2 linked regions of the Struthio camelus genome follow. The protein of the gene in region 1 interacts with the protein of each later gene in a biochemical or structural test. Links are inferred from orthologs where the notes say so. Each region holds a gene or a part of one and is shown on either strand. Other genes may lie near its edges.

Region 1 (7,794 bases):
ATCTGCACGTAGGATTTGCACAGCACACACTACTGTGAACTGCAATGAAGACACCAGAAATTCTTGCATTTTTCCCCTCAAATTTAATGCGGTGTTTTCAGAACAATTAGAACACCAATTTGTGAGGATAAACTCCATTTGAGAGAGAAAATGTAGACCGCAGGTACCCACGGAGCTGAGGCACCTTCTTGATTCTTGCCAGGATCTGTGAATCCACTGCCTTCTGGTCTGACTTGCGTTGCTCCGTTATCTCATATTTCTAGAAAGAACACGGAATAATATTAAAATACTTGCAGAATGACTTCAGACTCATCTCTGGAGCTAAGAGTTCAATGCAAGCCCTGAGCTCTTGGCACCTCAAGAAAGCTTCTCTGCATTTGTTCTAAATATGGGAAAGGTGGTAGGAGACCGGAGATGGCAGAGGGGACTGAAGCCACCGTTTGGCTTAGGTTACAGATGATCAGAGCCAGCAGCACACTGTTGGCAACATCAAAATAGCAAAGGTGTTTCGCAAACAAACAAAACCCACCAATATTCAATTAGATTAACCATGGCTGCTATTCTGCTAAAGGTAGAAGCAAGAGAGTGCCCTATTAATTCATTTTAATGGCATTACCTCACTTTACTGAAGACCACTTAAATGAAAATTAAAATTGTCCGTTTGTTTCACAAAATTTTCCCCCTTCCAGCCTGGCTTTAAGTAACAAGGACACGTGCAAAGAACGATCAACTGAATTCCTTACTTCTTTTTCAGTGTCAAAGATCTCGCCTTCCTGGTGCTTGGGCTTACGCAGCCTCTTCTTCTTAAAGTATGCATCAGTAAGATGTTTGGGAATTCTCACTCCAGTGATATCAACCTTGGTAGATGTAGCGATAACAAATTTCTGATGGGCCCTACGCAGAGGAACACGGTTGATAACCAAGGGTCCTAAAGGCAAAAGAAAGAAAAGATACAAAAGGTCATCTTTTTTGGCAACAGCCACCACTTCTAAGGTTGAAGTTCTGTGGCGTATAAGTTTTACGGAGATGCTCACAGTTAAAATCTGAACAGTCAAAGCCCTTCTCCATGGCTGACCAAAAGGCTGAAAGATGCTTCCTGATCTATTCCAGATTTTCAAACTTTCCACCTCCCCAAGATTCACAAACATGATTCCACATAGTCAGATGAACACATACCTTGCCAAACCATCCATATAGCAGTCTCCAACACTACCGATACCAGAAACAAAGTTGGACTAAAAACGGATTTGACTAAAAAAAAGTTTCTTACCTGTAACAAGCAACAGGCCAGTAGCAAGCTGCTTCAAGAAGACCACACGCTGAAAAGAGATGTGACATTAGTCCTCAGGTCCAAGCATTACATCTTCTTTGATGCTTGGGAAATACTGCAACCAAACTGGGACCGTGTCTACACTCAGCCCATATTACTGGTACATGCATTGACAAAGCATCGAGGCACAGATGTAACTATACTACATGAGGGGCAGCCATCCACATAAGCCACGCTATAAATGTTTCACAAAGGGCAATTCTGCCAGCGTTACTGCATCTGTGACAGACTGCAGCTCTCTATATGCTTCACCATTTAATACTGAGCAAAGCCAATTAGTACATTGTCAGATCTTTTGCCTATTCCTGCACATTCTACAGTATGGTGAGACAGCAAAACTGTCACTCAGCTTCTCTGAGGACCCAAGTAAAGGCAAGAACTAGATTAAAAAAAACAGAAGGGGATCACAATATATCATCAGACCTGTCCCACACTGGGATTTTATCTCTTTCTGATCTAGGATGCTAGGTTTCCTTCCCTGAACAGCATTCTTTTAAGTGATGTGACAGTGAAGCTGAAGAACGCAAGGAAATAAAGGGTGTCAGTTAAGACCTGCTAGTAAACGTCATTAAGACATGCAACACAGCTTAATGTAACAATCGAGTGTTATCTTCACAATTCAGATTAGGAATAAAAATTCAATTCTTTCTTTGCAATAGCTGGTCAAAGACAAACTTTTGGCCTCGCTGCTACAGTAATAAAAACAGGCATTAAATCTGCTATTATGCAACCCAAAATTAGTGTAACACGAATCTACACACTTTTTGCATTACAGCAAGACTCCCTTAACCTTGTCAGAACAACTGGATTAGCCTGTCTTATTTCCAGCTTTGTATAGTAGGACATTTCTTTAGAGACTATTTCCCTTAAAGGCAGGACAGGAGAAAGCCATCTCTACAGAGTTCACAGAACCTAATTAGAGTTGCAAATTCCTTTCTTCTGGGGGCTGGAACAGCATCCCATGAAATCAACTGGTACATTCGAGTTGCCTCTGCTTATTCAAAGAGATTTCAGCACAAAACTGCTGCAAAGCCACCATGAGAGCCATGACAAGAACATGGAAGAAGTTCCAGGTTACCTTGCCTCTATGACGACCAGTCAGAAGGATCAGAACAGTTCCTGGAGTAATAGAGGCACGCAGCTTCCTCTTGTGTTGACAAAAGGGCTTTTTGCCATGACTCAAAAGTTTGCGAGGAACATCCTCAGTTGGATAGTATCTTGGCTAGAAAAAAAGGAGCAAAATATTTTAACCACCCCATATCCCATGGGATAGCCAGCTTTCACTACAATTTCAATTATTACCCCAAAGATGATCTTTCTGAAAGATACCTTTTGCTGCTTATGGCACTTCAGGAAAATACTGAGTATTTTCTTTCAAGTTACATAGCTGCAAAAATTAAGACCAACGCTGTTTTTCTAAGCATTCTTCCAATTCAGTGCAGCAATACAGATGGCAGAAGATGACCCGCTCTTGCCTGCTAATCAAGCTTTGAATTACAGGCATGTCTCCAGGGAACTAGAATCAATAGAGCTGTTATCCCAAGGAGATAACTGGAAACTGTTCACTGTTACATGGCAGGGGTTGAAGCTCTTGCTGGGTGCACTAGGACTGCTAGGTTACGCTATCCAAGATGCACATCGTCTAGACGAGATTTACACAAACACAGTACACATAACAGCCCATAGCAGCCTTAACTGCGAGCATCTGAGTTCATCAGCACAACTCATCATCTGCTGAGAGCAAGCTTTTTCCCTGGCACGTTCTTACCATTTTGCGGACTTTAACCACACGGCTGCCTCCATTCTTATCTCCACCAACTGGTTTGGTGATGGTTGCCGGTGGCTTTTCTTTCTTTTTCTTTTCTATCTGTAGGCAGAGAAAAAGGGAACGCAAAGAACATTTCAAACCAAAGTCACTCTGAAAAGCTATCAGACAGTACGCTTATTTAAACACGGTATTTCTTGTCCATCTACCTTTGTTTCTGGAGCAGTGTACTTGCGCTTGTACATTGCTTTTCTGGCATACATAGCTGACCGGGAATACCTCCCGATTCCCCGGGCCAGTACAGGGTTGCGGCTGGCATGATGCTTCTTAGGCTTCCTTGTCTTCTCGCGTATTTTCTTCTGGCTTGCCTTCTTCTCACCTGGTTTACTCTCACCTGCCTTTTTATCACCTGCCTTCTTCTCACCCGCCATCTGTGGACCCAAGTAAAATGGAAATTTTTGTGTATTATGAGGCACGCAGAGAAAACATTAACATTGCAAAAGACAAGGATTGGAAATAAAACCTTTAAACCATTCCACTATTTCTCAGGCACCTTTTACAGCAAATCAAGACACCATGGAGTCAAAAACCATCCTGTTTGCTGCCTGTTGGCCCACAACGCAAAAGGCTCTTCTGCACTAATTACACCAGCTACCCATTCCCTCGATACATCCAAACCCTCGAATCCAGAAAGCCCAAGAAGAGGCACACGCACGATGAGGTCGCAGCCACACGGTGCTCGGGACTCCCCCAGAGCTCGGGCCCCGGGGAAGGCTGCCGAGCCCCACCCGCAGGGCGGGCCCCAGCCGGACCCGCCGCGCACGGCCACATCACGGGGCTACGCCTGCTCTCCCCGGGCCCCGGCGCAGCCCTGCACCAGGGCCTGCAGGGCTCCGTCTCCCGGCCGGGTCCCAGCGCCTCCCGCCAGCTCCGTCCCTGCCGGCCGCGGCCCGTCCCAACCTCCGCGCTCCGCCGCGGCCTAGCCGCAGACAGCTGGCCCTCCCACCGCCCCCCCCTCCTCCTCCCCAGCCCCCGTCAGCCCTCACCCGCGCCCCCCGAGGGCACCCGGCCAGACCCCCGGGCCCAGAGCAGCCTGCCGAAGGCAGATGGCGGCAGATAAGGCCCGCCGGGTCCCGGCCCTGCCCGCCGCCGCTCCGCCATTCTTACCTTCCGGGGAGGGAAAGGGACTCACATCCGGGCCACCGCGCCCTAAAGCCAGCGCAGCGCCTGACGTCAGCGCGGCGGCCGCGGAGCACGCCGGGACTTGTAGTCCGGGGAGGCCGGGAGCGGCCGGGGTCTCCCAGGTGGCCGAGGAGGGGGGGACAGCGGGAGGGGCAAGGGCAGGCGGCGGCCGGGGGGCGGAGGGGGCGGCCTCGGCGGCTCCGGGGTGCCGCAGCCCGCGAAGTCGCATCTACTTTCTGTCCTCGGACATCGCATCCCCCCCCCCCCCCCGAAGGCGCTCCCGGGGAACGGGGCTCCGCACAGCCACCCCGGGGGGGGGAGGGGGCGAGCGCTCCCTTTTAGGGAGCCGGCGGACGCCCCGGGGGGGGGGGGTGGAGTCGGTGGCGCGGGTTGATGACGCGTGAGGGCTGCGCCGCGCTCTGTGCGCCTTCGGGGCCTGGAGGCGGCTGTTGTTCGCGCTCCCCCTCAGGGCGCCCCTAGGCCGCGGCCCCCATGTGAGAGGCGGCCGTCGAGGCGGGGGCGGCCGGGCTGCACCGCGACCCGCCGGCGCCGTGGGAGAAAATGACATCGCGGAGGTGAGGCGGGGCGGGGAGCGGTGCCGAGCCTGGCGGCGGAAGGTGGGGGGGTGGGGGAAGAGGGTTGGGGGCTGCCTCTCCGCGGGGCCGCGGCCCCTCAGCGCCCGCCGTGGCGGGGGCCGCCGGGCTCCGTCGCCGCCTCGGCCAGGCCCCCCCTCCCCCCCCCAGCCCCGCTGCCTGCAGCCGCTTCCCCGACAGACCGCGGCGGGGTGGCCCCAGTGCGGCCGCTGCGCGGGTCCGGGCCTGGCCCCCGCCGCGTTTCGCCCTGCCCGGCATCTCGGCACGGGGGGGCCCCCCGGGGCTGGGGGGGGGGGCGCGGCTGGCCTCGGGTCCCGTCGCCCGCCGTGCAGAGGCTGGCGCTGCCGCCGGTAGCAGTGGCGTTTGCAGCCCCCTCCCCGTGCCTTTGAACCCGGCCGAAAGGTGAGTTTTATCGCCGCGGTGACGCGGTCAGTTGCCGGGCTGGGGGCCGAGGGCGGGGAGAGGCGCGTTACCCTCCGTGCCCTGGCGCTGCTGAAACTGCAGCACGAGCCGGTTTGCAGTGAGCGCTGATGAGCTGACCTGGTCGAGGCTCTTGGTTTATTAGCAGCATTCAGTCTAATTTCAGATCCTTGTGGTATTGCTAAATTAGGATGATAAACTTTGGTTGAATTTATTCTCTTTATTTTCGCTTGTAACCTATCCTTAATGTGTTTTGGTGTTGGTCTTATTTTAGCTGTCTGTTTTGGACTGAGAGTTTAAGGTAAATGTTAGATTCCAGCAGAGTGACTGTGATAAAAAGGGCTACAATACTTATGTTCTTATCTAATAGACCTGTTCTGAAACATGATGTGTATTTTCAAACAATATCTATTAAAGAGTAATTTCTTCAACGTTTACTTGTCCTCTTTCTTCTGCCTAAGATGGTAAAACTAGCCTGGTTGGTTTTCAGTTTGTGGCCATTTGGAGTTGATTTTGGGACTCCTGAAACGCGTGGAGGATCTTTAGTGCATGTGTTTTCTGATTGTCCCCACTTACGTGTTAAAATATGTGTACGGATGCCTTTTTAGAAATAGTTGCTACCTTCTCATCAGCAGGTGCAATCCTCTTCTTCTTAGAAGTTTAAATTGTAACTTGTGAAGGAGACCAAGAAAAGGGTTAGAAATATAAGCTGATGAGCCTATAAATAGGATTAATTAAACTACCGGTCACCATCTCTGTGAATGCCACGGTTGTGCCAGCCAAGGCTCAGAACTGGTTTAATCTTGTGCATTCTTGAAAACATGGTTAGAAAAGGTAAATCACGGCATGGAAAAGTTTACTTTCTTTTCTGCCTTAATCTGGTAAACTTTTTTCCTTTCATCTACTGTCCTTTCTGCTCTTCCCTCTCCTCTATGCTGTTTATGCTGTTTCTCTCACTAAAGAAAAATATGTTGGCAATGTATGACTTTTAAAATACACAATCTGCTGATTTTTTTTTTCTTGACTATCCAAGGTGCAACTTTTTTTTTTTTCCCTTAAAATTAATTTGTAGCAAGGCTATGTTTCCTGACATGTCATAGTTCTTTGAAATAGTTCTTTTAGGTGATATCCCTTTATTCTTGTAAATGAGATCTCTCTTTCACTAGTTACTCTTCTAACACTTTCATCTCACTGTAAAACAAGTGACTCGGCATGGTATGCGGCTGCAACCCCTGCATCAGAATTGCTCTAAGTAGTATCTCATGCGTAGTGAGGACAGCTAGCTTAATTAGAGTGTGTATGTATGCTACTTTCTTGGCTGTCATGTTCTTTGCTAGGGATAGCTTCTGCACCTGCTCAGAACAGAGGTTGAAGAAGGAAGGTAGAAAAAGGTCTAAAGTGCATTCCATCCCTATAAAAGGAAGTGTAAGAGAAAGTCCTCTGCAGGGCTTATGTTACTGCTATCTGTGCCTGCAATCCCCTTTGCTCTCCCCTCCAGTTTTGGAAGGGATGTAGCCACCAAGGTTCCAAAGCACATGTGATGGCAGTACTTCAAATGAAGTGATCTTGATCACTGGTCCGGAACCATTTAACAGAGATCACTAACACCCCCATTTTTCTATTTGGGGTGGCTGACAAATGCATCTTCCTACTCAGAGCCAAAAATACAAGGATGAGGGAGCAGGAGTACAAGTTACCATTAGAACAAAAGTTACATAAAGTGCAATAAACTCAGTCAGTCTCCCAGATGTAGCTTTTCTTGTTCTACACTTTAACTTTTTGCCATCTTCAGTAGGAGTGCCTGTGTATGTGGGGGTGAGAACACCTTTTCTTTTCTTTTTTGATAGCAATTTGTCATCTCTGTAATCTGTCTTCTAAGTACAAGTTATTTGTGTTCCCCTCTGTGTGTTAAAATATATATATATTTTGTTATTTTGCATCATTCTAACCAATGAAGTATGGTTACTGCCAGGTGCATTGGGGTTAGGGTAAGACACTGGGGATGATACGTTAATTGAGGTTAATAGAACATTGCCATATAACAAATCTGTAGAGCTGATTCCAGTAAGTTTCCCTCTATCTTTTTATACGTTTCTGGATGTAAACTCAAACACCCAAAGATGTGTCCTGAATCCTATCTGTTTTTAAAACTCTTAGAAACCGTTCCAAAATTTGTCACTTTTTTTTTTTCTAATGGAAGTAAAATTTTCAGGGTGAAAGTGTGGGAAAGATACTATCAGCTTCTCCCCTCCAAATCTATCATATCCCCAAATACATTATTTAATGCTTGGTTCACCCTGTGTACTGATGCTTGTGCTGTTTCTTTTGTGAGACTGTATCAAGGCAAAATATATGTCTCTGTCAGGACACTTCTCTTGACCTTCAGGTAGTCATTAGATAAATGTAGGATTACTTATTGATTCACTTTAACTCCCATTTGCTGTGACAACTTGGAAGTATTTTTTTAATATATTCATTTCATGACCCATACTGTGTAGGCTTGA
Region 2 (7,148 bases), on another chromosome or scaffold:
AGGATGCAGGAGAGCGGGGCGCCGAGGTGGCCCCGTGCCCGACACTCACCCGTGGCTCTGCAGAGCAGCAGCAGCACCAGGCAGGCGAGAGCCAGCGCCGGCGTGGCCGCAGCCATGGCAAGACCCGCGTCCCGCTCCCGACCGGCTCGGCTCGGCTCAGCCGGCTCGGGGGCTCGGGGAGGACTTATCGCAAATGGGGAAGGAAGGTCACGACAGCAGGCGAAGTTCCTCTGCCACCTCCATGCAAGGCCGGAAGGTTTCCAAATCGTTTTCGCCTTGACACGTCACGAGGTTGCGTGCTTGCCAGCCGTCGGGGCTGCAGAGCCGCCGTCCCACGAAGCGGCGCTGCGGCGGGTCTGCAGCCCCGCGAGCCGCCCTGCGCCCGCCGCCGCCGGGGGCCGTGGGCGCCTGCCGCCCCGCGCGGTGTCTGGGTAGAGGGGCCTGGGCAGAGGGGACGGCGGCGTGGTGCAAGCTTCGCCTGCCCGCCGCGCGGGCTCCTCTCGCTGCCGCTCCTCCCTGCAGGCCGGGAAATCTCGCGCGCAGCTCTGAAACGTGCAGCCTGTCCCGAGGCGGCCGCCTTCCTCGCGCTGCGCCTCGGCTGCAGGCTCCGGCAGAGGCGCTCCCCTGCCCCGGCCGCGGCTGCTCCCGGCGCCGGCCGCCCCTGCAGCAAGCTCCGTGCGGGCAGGCTGCGGTGCGCGCAGAAGCGCTTCGACCTCGGATGATGCATCTGAGGGGTTAAGCCCTGCTCTGCTCCCGGCCGGCGCTGCCTCCCGGCGCCCGGGTCCGGCACGCAGCCAGGCAGGCACCAAAAGCGTTAACCGCCCGCGCCCACTCGCTTCCATTTCCTGTGCAGCTTCTCATTTTCCTTCTCCTGAAGTTGGAGCTGAAACTTTCGGTGGCGCCGATGGCTCTGCGGGCGGCCGCCGTGCCTCCCCTCCTCGTGCAGCTGCTCAGCCTGTGCCCGGCCCCGCTGGCGGGTGAGTAGGGCGCAGCGCCCCGGCGCTGCCCGCCGCCCGGCCCCGCCGCTCCGTGCCCTCTGTCCCGAGGGACGCATCGCGCGGCAGGGGACAGCCTCGCTGCCGGGGGCTGCAGGGCTGCGTGCCGTTCCCCGGGGGCGAGGGAGGCGCACGTCTCTGCCGGCGTCCCGGCGCTGCCGGGCTGCAGCATCTCTGCCGTTTCGCCCGGGGCCGGGCGGCGAGGGGCGCGCGGGGTGCCCGGGGGGTTTGGAGGCAGGAGCCGGGCTGCACGGAGAGCCAAATCCCGAGGGCCGGGAAAGGCTGCGGGCCGCCTGCGGGCTCGGGGCCGGCTGCCCGATAAACGCTGCCTGCTCGCGCTGGTGGTTCGCGGCGCGTCCTGGCTCTTCCTCCCCGGCGTTGCTCCTTCGTCTGCCTCTGTAGACCCGGAGCACCTGCAGCATCTCGCGGCAAGCAGCCCCCCGGGTTGGGGGGGGCGAAGGATCTCCCCCCGCCGTCCGCTTTGCGCCTGCCCTCCGCCAGCCCCACTTGGGGCAGTTCGTCCCTGATAGCGCTCAGCGAAAGCGCCGCGCAGGCGCCAGGCGGCTGCGGGGGCTCTGCCCGGGCCGGTGCGAGCGAGGGCAGCCGGCGGCTGCCTGGGGCGCTCACTCGGCCCCGCTGCAGGTGCCGGCGCCCGGGCGGCCGCGCGCGTCCAGCTGCAGCAGCCGCAGGCCGAGGTGTCCGTGTCCGTGGGGCAGACGCTCACGCTGCGCTGCGCCGTCTCGGAGCACGCTGGAGCGGGACCCGTGAGGTGGCTGAAGCCCTCGGACGGCAAGAACCGGACCATTTACGATCAGAAAAGCTCCTTCCCCCGCGTCACGAGGGCGGCGAACGGCTCCAACACAGACTTCACCATCCACATCAGCGACGCCCGCCCCGAGGACGCCGGCACCTATTACTGCGTGAAGCTTCGGCCCGGGTCGGAGGAGCAGGTTTATTGCTCGGGGCCCGGCACGACGGTGTCGGTGCACGGTGAGTCGGCGCCCCCGCGGCCCCCCGCCCCGGCACCGTGCCGGCGCCCGCCGCTGAGGCTCGTGTCCCCGCAGAGAGGGCCCCGTTTCCCAGCGTGGCCGTCGCCGCCGCGGCGCTCTCCATCCTCCTCCTCGTCCTCCTCGTCGCCCTGTGCGTCTACCAGCGGAAGAGGGGAGGTGAGCGGGGCGCCGGGCGGGCTGGCCGGGCGCTGGGGGCTGCCGCGCGCCCCGCTCACCCCTCCTCTCCTTCGCTTGGCAGGGGGCAGCCCCGGCAGCCCCGGGTTGGCACCCGCCGCCTGCCGCCGCGAGGAAACTCTGCCTTCTCCATCTGCCTCCAGGTTTGCACCCGCTTCGGAGACTTGGGTTTTTCCCCCCCCCGGAAAAGAGCTTGCATTCGTCGGCGCGTCGCTGCGCTGCGTCGCTCCCGTCCGCGTCAGCCCGGCGGTAAAACCCGCCAGCTGGCGCCCGGGATGGGCCGGGGGCCGCCGGGAGCCCCGCGGGCCGGGGGGGGCGGCTGCTGGCAGCGCTAACGGCAGTCCTTCTCCCCCAGCAGCCGCGTGCCGGACGCCGAGACCTCACCTCCGCCCGGCCAGGTAGGAGCGGGAGGCGAAGGCGAGGGAAGAGCCTTTGCCAAGGGGGTTTGGGGACGCGGCGGCTCCGGGGCGGTTCGGGGGGCAGCGGCGGCGGCCGCCGGGCCGAGGGGCGGCCGCGTTGCCGAAGGCGCCCGCGGGCTCCTTTGTGCACGGTTCCCTCGCGACGGCCTCACCCACGCGCGGCTCTCGCCGTTGCAGCGGGCCGGCGGGCCGGACGCCGACGTTCACTACGCCGACCTGCGGCACCTGCCGGCGGCCCCGCGGCGGGCGCGCAGCCCCGGCGCCCCCGGCACCGAGTACGCCAGCATCCGGCTAGCTGCGCGGTAAAGCCTGGTCCCCAGCCGCGACGCCCGGCCGCGGGCCCGTGCCGGGGGACGAAGCGAGGACCTTTTCTGCGGGACGCGAGGAAGAAGCGGCAGAGGGGCCCGGCTGGCCCCTCTCGGCCCCTTTCAGGGGCACTTTGTGGCCCCAGGCGGCTCGGCGCTGTCCTGGCGCCGCGGGCCCTTGCTGGCTGCCCCTCCGGCCCCGCCGCGCTCAGCCCCGGCGATGCATCGCCTTTAATAAGGCGTCTGCGAAGCCGCCCCAGCGGCCGGGCGCGCGGCCGGTCGAGTCCCGGGCATTGGCGCTTCCCCACGCCGCCGGCGGCAGCTGCCGGAGCCGAGCAGCTCGAAGCTGGGAGCACGCGGCCGCCGCGCGCCTCCGCGGCCGGGGACGGAGCGCCTGGCCGGCTCGGCCTCCCCGCCGCCAGGCACGGCGCCTGCCGCTGGGCTGAGCACGTTTCCGGGCCGGGAAACCTTGCGCTTCGGCCCGTCGCTGCTGCCTGCGCCCCTTGAAAGCTGTTTGCAGATGCCAACTTCCAATTTCCTTTCTCTGTTTTTTTTTTCTTTTTTTTTTTCTGTGAAATCAAAATAGAGAAGTGAAACAAGACAGCGTGCAGCGTCTGCGTGTGCATCTAGGTACCGGGGGTTTATCTGCGAGCAGAGAGATCCTGCCGACGGGCAGAGCGCTGCCGGGGAGGGAAGCCGCTTACGAAACCCATTTGCATGCGTGTCGCAGGGGACATGTCTTAACACCTGGGCACGCTTTGGGGACATTTCTTTTCTCAGTGGCAGCGCCGAGTCCTGCATGCAGCGCCCCGGCCGCGGGCGCAGCGCGGGGACGTTTGCAAAGGCAGGAGCAGGGCGGGGGCCCCGGCGCCGCGGTCCCGAGCTCCGGCCGCGAGCCCGGACCCAGCCGAGCCCCCGAGCCCCGCGGGGCAGTGGCAGAAGCTGGGCCGCGGCCTCGATGAGCGGCGACCGGTTCCCCGGGCAGGTCAGCAGCTGGCGCGAAGCGCGGGCCGGAGTGCCCCGTGCCGGCGGCCGCCAGCGCCGCGTCCTGGCCGCGGGCCGCCCCGAGGACGCCGGCAGTGGCTGCGTGCCGCACGCCCCAGCGAGGACTGCGAGCAGCGTATGTAAAACCGGCGGCTGAGAGCGAGAGCGGGGAGACACCTCGCCCGCACGGGGCAACGAAATCCGATTTAGGGCGTTTTTCAGCATTGGGCTGGGTCGGGAGGGGGAAAATCCAGCGTGATGAAAGCATATGGAAAGCAGCGAGCGGCGGGCTGGGAGCGCTGTGCACCTGGGAAAGGGCGCAGGGCTGCGGCTTAGTGCCCGGGAGAGGGATTTGGTGGTTATTGTGGGAAAATCCTTTAAGCCAGCAGCCCGGGTGTGCCGGCAGTGAAAGCACAAACAAGCGGCCGAGCAGGTAGGAGCGCGGCCGGGCCGGGGGGCTGGGGCGGCCGGGGGGCAGCGGGCGCGGGGATTTGGTGCCGATGCGGGGCGGTTTTGCCCCAAGCCGGGCGTGGGGAGGGCCGGTGTGAACGCTGCGCAGAGCCGGACCGGGCGTTTACCCTTGGTCCGCTCCCTCCGGGACGGTGTTATCGGCACTGCGGCGGGGGGGAGCGGGTGAACGAACGGGCCGGGAGAGTCCAGCCTCGTCCCTCGCAGCCGGCTGACGGCGCAGGCTGATGCAGCCGGGTCCCGCTTTAGTGGCTGCTTCTGTCCCCGAGACCTGGCGTCCACCCGAGACGCCGCCCGCGCTTTGGATCGCCCCCGGGGCTGCACCGGCGCCGTCCCCGTCCCCATCCTCGTAAGTCCCCATCCTCGTCCCCTTTCCCTGGGGGCTCCCCAGGAAGCCCCGTCCCCGGAGACGTGGGACATGTCCCGCGCCAGGCCGCCGCCGCGCAGCAGCGCTGGCATCCGACGGCACAAGCAGGGCCCCGGCCGGGCGCTGAGACGCTCTGAGGGGATTTCGGAAAGGTTGGGAGGGTCCCGGGGGGTGCTTTGAGCGCCCCTAGGAAAAGCCACGCGGATCTCTACCGGCTCCTGCTGATTTATCCGGGCTGCGCTCCCGCGGGGAGAGGGACCGGAGGCAGAGAGGCCGAGGACGCCGCGCAGCCAGCGCCCGCCCCAATCGCACCGCGCTATTCAGGCGACGTTTCGGGATGCAAACGCTAGCTGGAGAGCTGAACGCGCCCAGCTGGCTCGTGGGGAGCCGCCTGCCGCAGGTGCCCCCCGCCGAGCGCCGGTCCCCGCGGGGCCGTTCGGCTCCCGCACCCGGACCGCCGGAGCGGGCAGCCGACAGCCTCGCCGCCAAATAGGCATGTCGAAAGGGGCATGTTTTTTGGGGTAGGGCCGCCCCGGTTGGCCTTTCCGTGTTTGCACGGTGCCAGACGGGCCAGGGCACCCGGCGATACCCACGGGGATATCCGCGCTCTGGCCGCGGCCCTGCACTGCTGCCGCCGGTGGTCCCCGGTCCCGCACCGCCGCTGCCGCCGGTCCCCGGCCCCGCACCGCTGCTGCTGCCGGTCCCCGGCCCCACACCGCTGCTGCCCCTGGTCCCCGGCCCCGCACCGCCGCTGCGCCGATCCCCGGTCCCGCATTGCCGCTGCCACCACTCCCTGGTCCCGCACCACCGCTGCTGCCGGTCCCCGGTCCCGCACCGCCGCTGCCACCACTCCCTGGTCCCGCACCACCGCTGCTGCCGGTCCCTGGTCCCGCACCGCCGCTGCTGGCTCTCTGCAGCCAGCTGGCCCGTCTCCTGCGCGCCAGCGCGGGCGGCATCGCCTCGGCCGGGCTCCTGCGGGCGTCCCACCGGCCAGGGACGGCGACGCGACCCCGCCAACCTGCCCCTTCTCCGCTCTCTGTTTATCAGGGCAGGATTTTCACGGGGAAGCAAGGAACGGAGCGGAAGTAAAATGGTTACGTGCTTTACGCTGTTACTCATTTCGTGTAGTACGTATTGAATCCTGTTCGCTGGTTTCACGGTTATTGCAGATTTTTATTAAAGAGGATAAACAGTTTGGGGATTCGGGGTTGTCATAGGAACTGCTTTTGTGCCTTGTCCTCACCTCCGGCGCTATTATTCCCCCCAATTTCATGAGTTAGTGAGGGCTCAGCTCTTTCCAGCCCCATGGATGTTTTTCCAGCCCCATAAGCACAGCTTGAGTAAAAAACACTCGTTACGGAGGAGCCGCCGTCTGCCGGGCCGAGGGCGCTGGGCCGGGCGGGGGGCGCTCAGCGCCGCCCGCGAACGGCCCCGCGAGAGGCCCCGGCGCCGACGGGGAGCCCGCGGCCCCGGCACCGCTGCAGCCGGGAGCCAGCGGAGCGCGGCGCCGGGCAGGCGGCCCTCGAGGCTGCCGCGGGGCTGTGCGGACTCTCCGGCGTCTCGTAGCAGGTTGTGCCCAGGCTGCTGCGGCCCCGCCGGGGGGGGATCGCACTCCTGCGCCCGGTCCCGTTTTTGTGAAATCCCCGGCGGCGGCAGCAGCAGGAGGAGGAGGAGGAGGACGGCAGCTGGGCTCTGCCCTGCCCGGCCGCTCTCCGTCACGGGGGGACAGGCAGTGAAAATGAAAGCTGCTGAACACGCTTCCCGCCCAGCGACGAAAGGAAATCCCTTGCGCCCGGCCCGCGTTTAGCCTGCGCGGTCCGTCGCCGCAGGACGTCGGGGAGGCCAGCGCTCCGGCAAGCGCGAAAGAGGGATTTCCCAGGTCCGCCAGACGAACAGGAGCAGCCAGGGCTCAAGAAAGACTCGCCTGACGGGCCGTTGCTCGGGGACGGGGAGGAGGATCCGGCGGCAGCGCCCGGCCCGGGGCCGGCGCCCGCAGAGGAGCCTGCACGGGCCCGAGGGGGCTCCCGCCGGCTCCGGCGCCGTCCGGGTGCCCCTCCGGCCTCGCAGACGCTCCGGCGGGGGATAACGCCGCTGAGCCCCCTCCCGGCTCGCCCCGCCGCTGCCGCCAGCCGGCCCCGGGTCGTCGGGCCCCTCTCGGGCGCCGGAGACCCCCTTACCTCTGTCCTCCTCCGGCTTTCAACCCCGCCGAGTCCCGCGGGAGCGCGCGGGAGGCTGGGAGCCGCCGGCGAGGTGCAGCCAGAGCTGCCCGGGCACCTGCGGCATCCCGCTGAGCGCCTCCGTCCCTGTCCCGTCAGCGCCCTCCCGGGAAGAGAAAGCCCTGGAAAGCTGCGAAGCCGCTGCTTTAAACCCCACTCGCAAGAATTTGGGAGACTTTGGGCCTGCTTTGATTTTTCCCGCTGGCTGCA

Evidence for each region. The genes of interacting proteins can lie anywhere in the genome.
Region 2: the proteins of PTPN11 (region 1) and tyrosine-protein phosphatase non-receptor type substrate 1-like form a complex in vitro, tested with the Homo sapiens proteins (2 studies listed by BioGRID). The link is inferred for Struthio camelus from reciprocal best matches to the Homo sapiens genes PTPN11 and SIRPA.

Annotation. Positions count from the first base shown.
Region 1 is NC_090958.1:18,559,330-18,567,123, forward strand, and holds the start of PTPN11 (tyrosine-protein phosphatase non-receptor type 11), read left to right. Parts: upstream 1-4,641; 5' UTR 4,642-4,838; coding exon 4,839-4,852; intron 4,853-7,794. Other genes in the region: RPL6 (large ribosomal subunit protein eL6), read right to left, coding at 107-259, 744-928, 1,271-1,319, 2,409-2,552, 3,099-3,197, 3,305-3,526. UniProt on the Homo sapiens protein: Acts downstream of various receptor and cytoplasmic protein tyrosine kinases to participate in the signal transduction from the cell surface to the nucleus. Positively regulates MAPK signal transduction pathway. Dephosphorylates GAB1, ARHGAP35 and EGFR.
Region 2 is NC_090959.1:18,179,230-18,186,377, reverse strand, and holds the start of tyrosine-protein phosphatase non-receptor type substrate 1-like, read left to right. Parts: upstream 1-3,977; 5' UTR 3,978-4,023; intron 4,024-7,148. Other genes in the region: signal-regulatory protein beta-1-like, read right to left, coding at 50-116. UniProt on the Homo sapiens protein: Immunoglobulin-like cell surface receptor for CD47. Acts as docking protein and induces translocation of PTPN6, PTPN11 and other binding partners from the cytosol to the plasma membrane.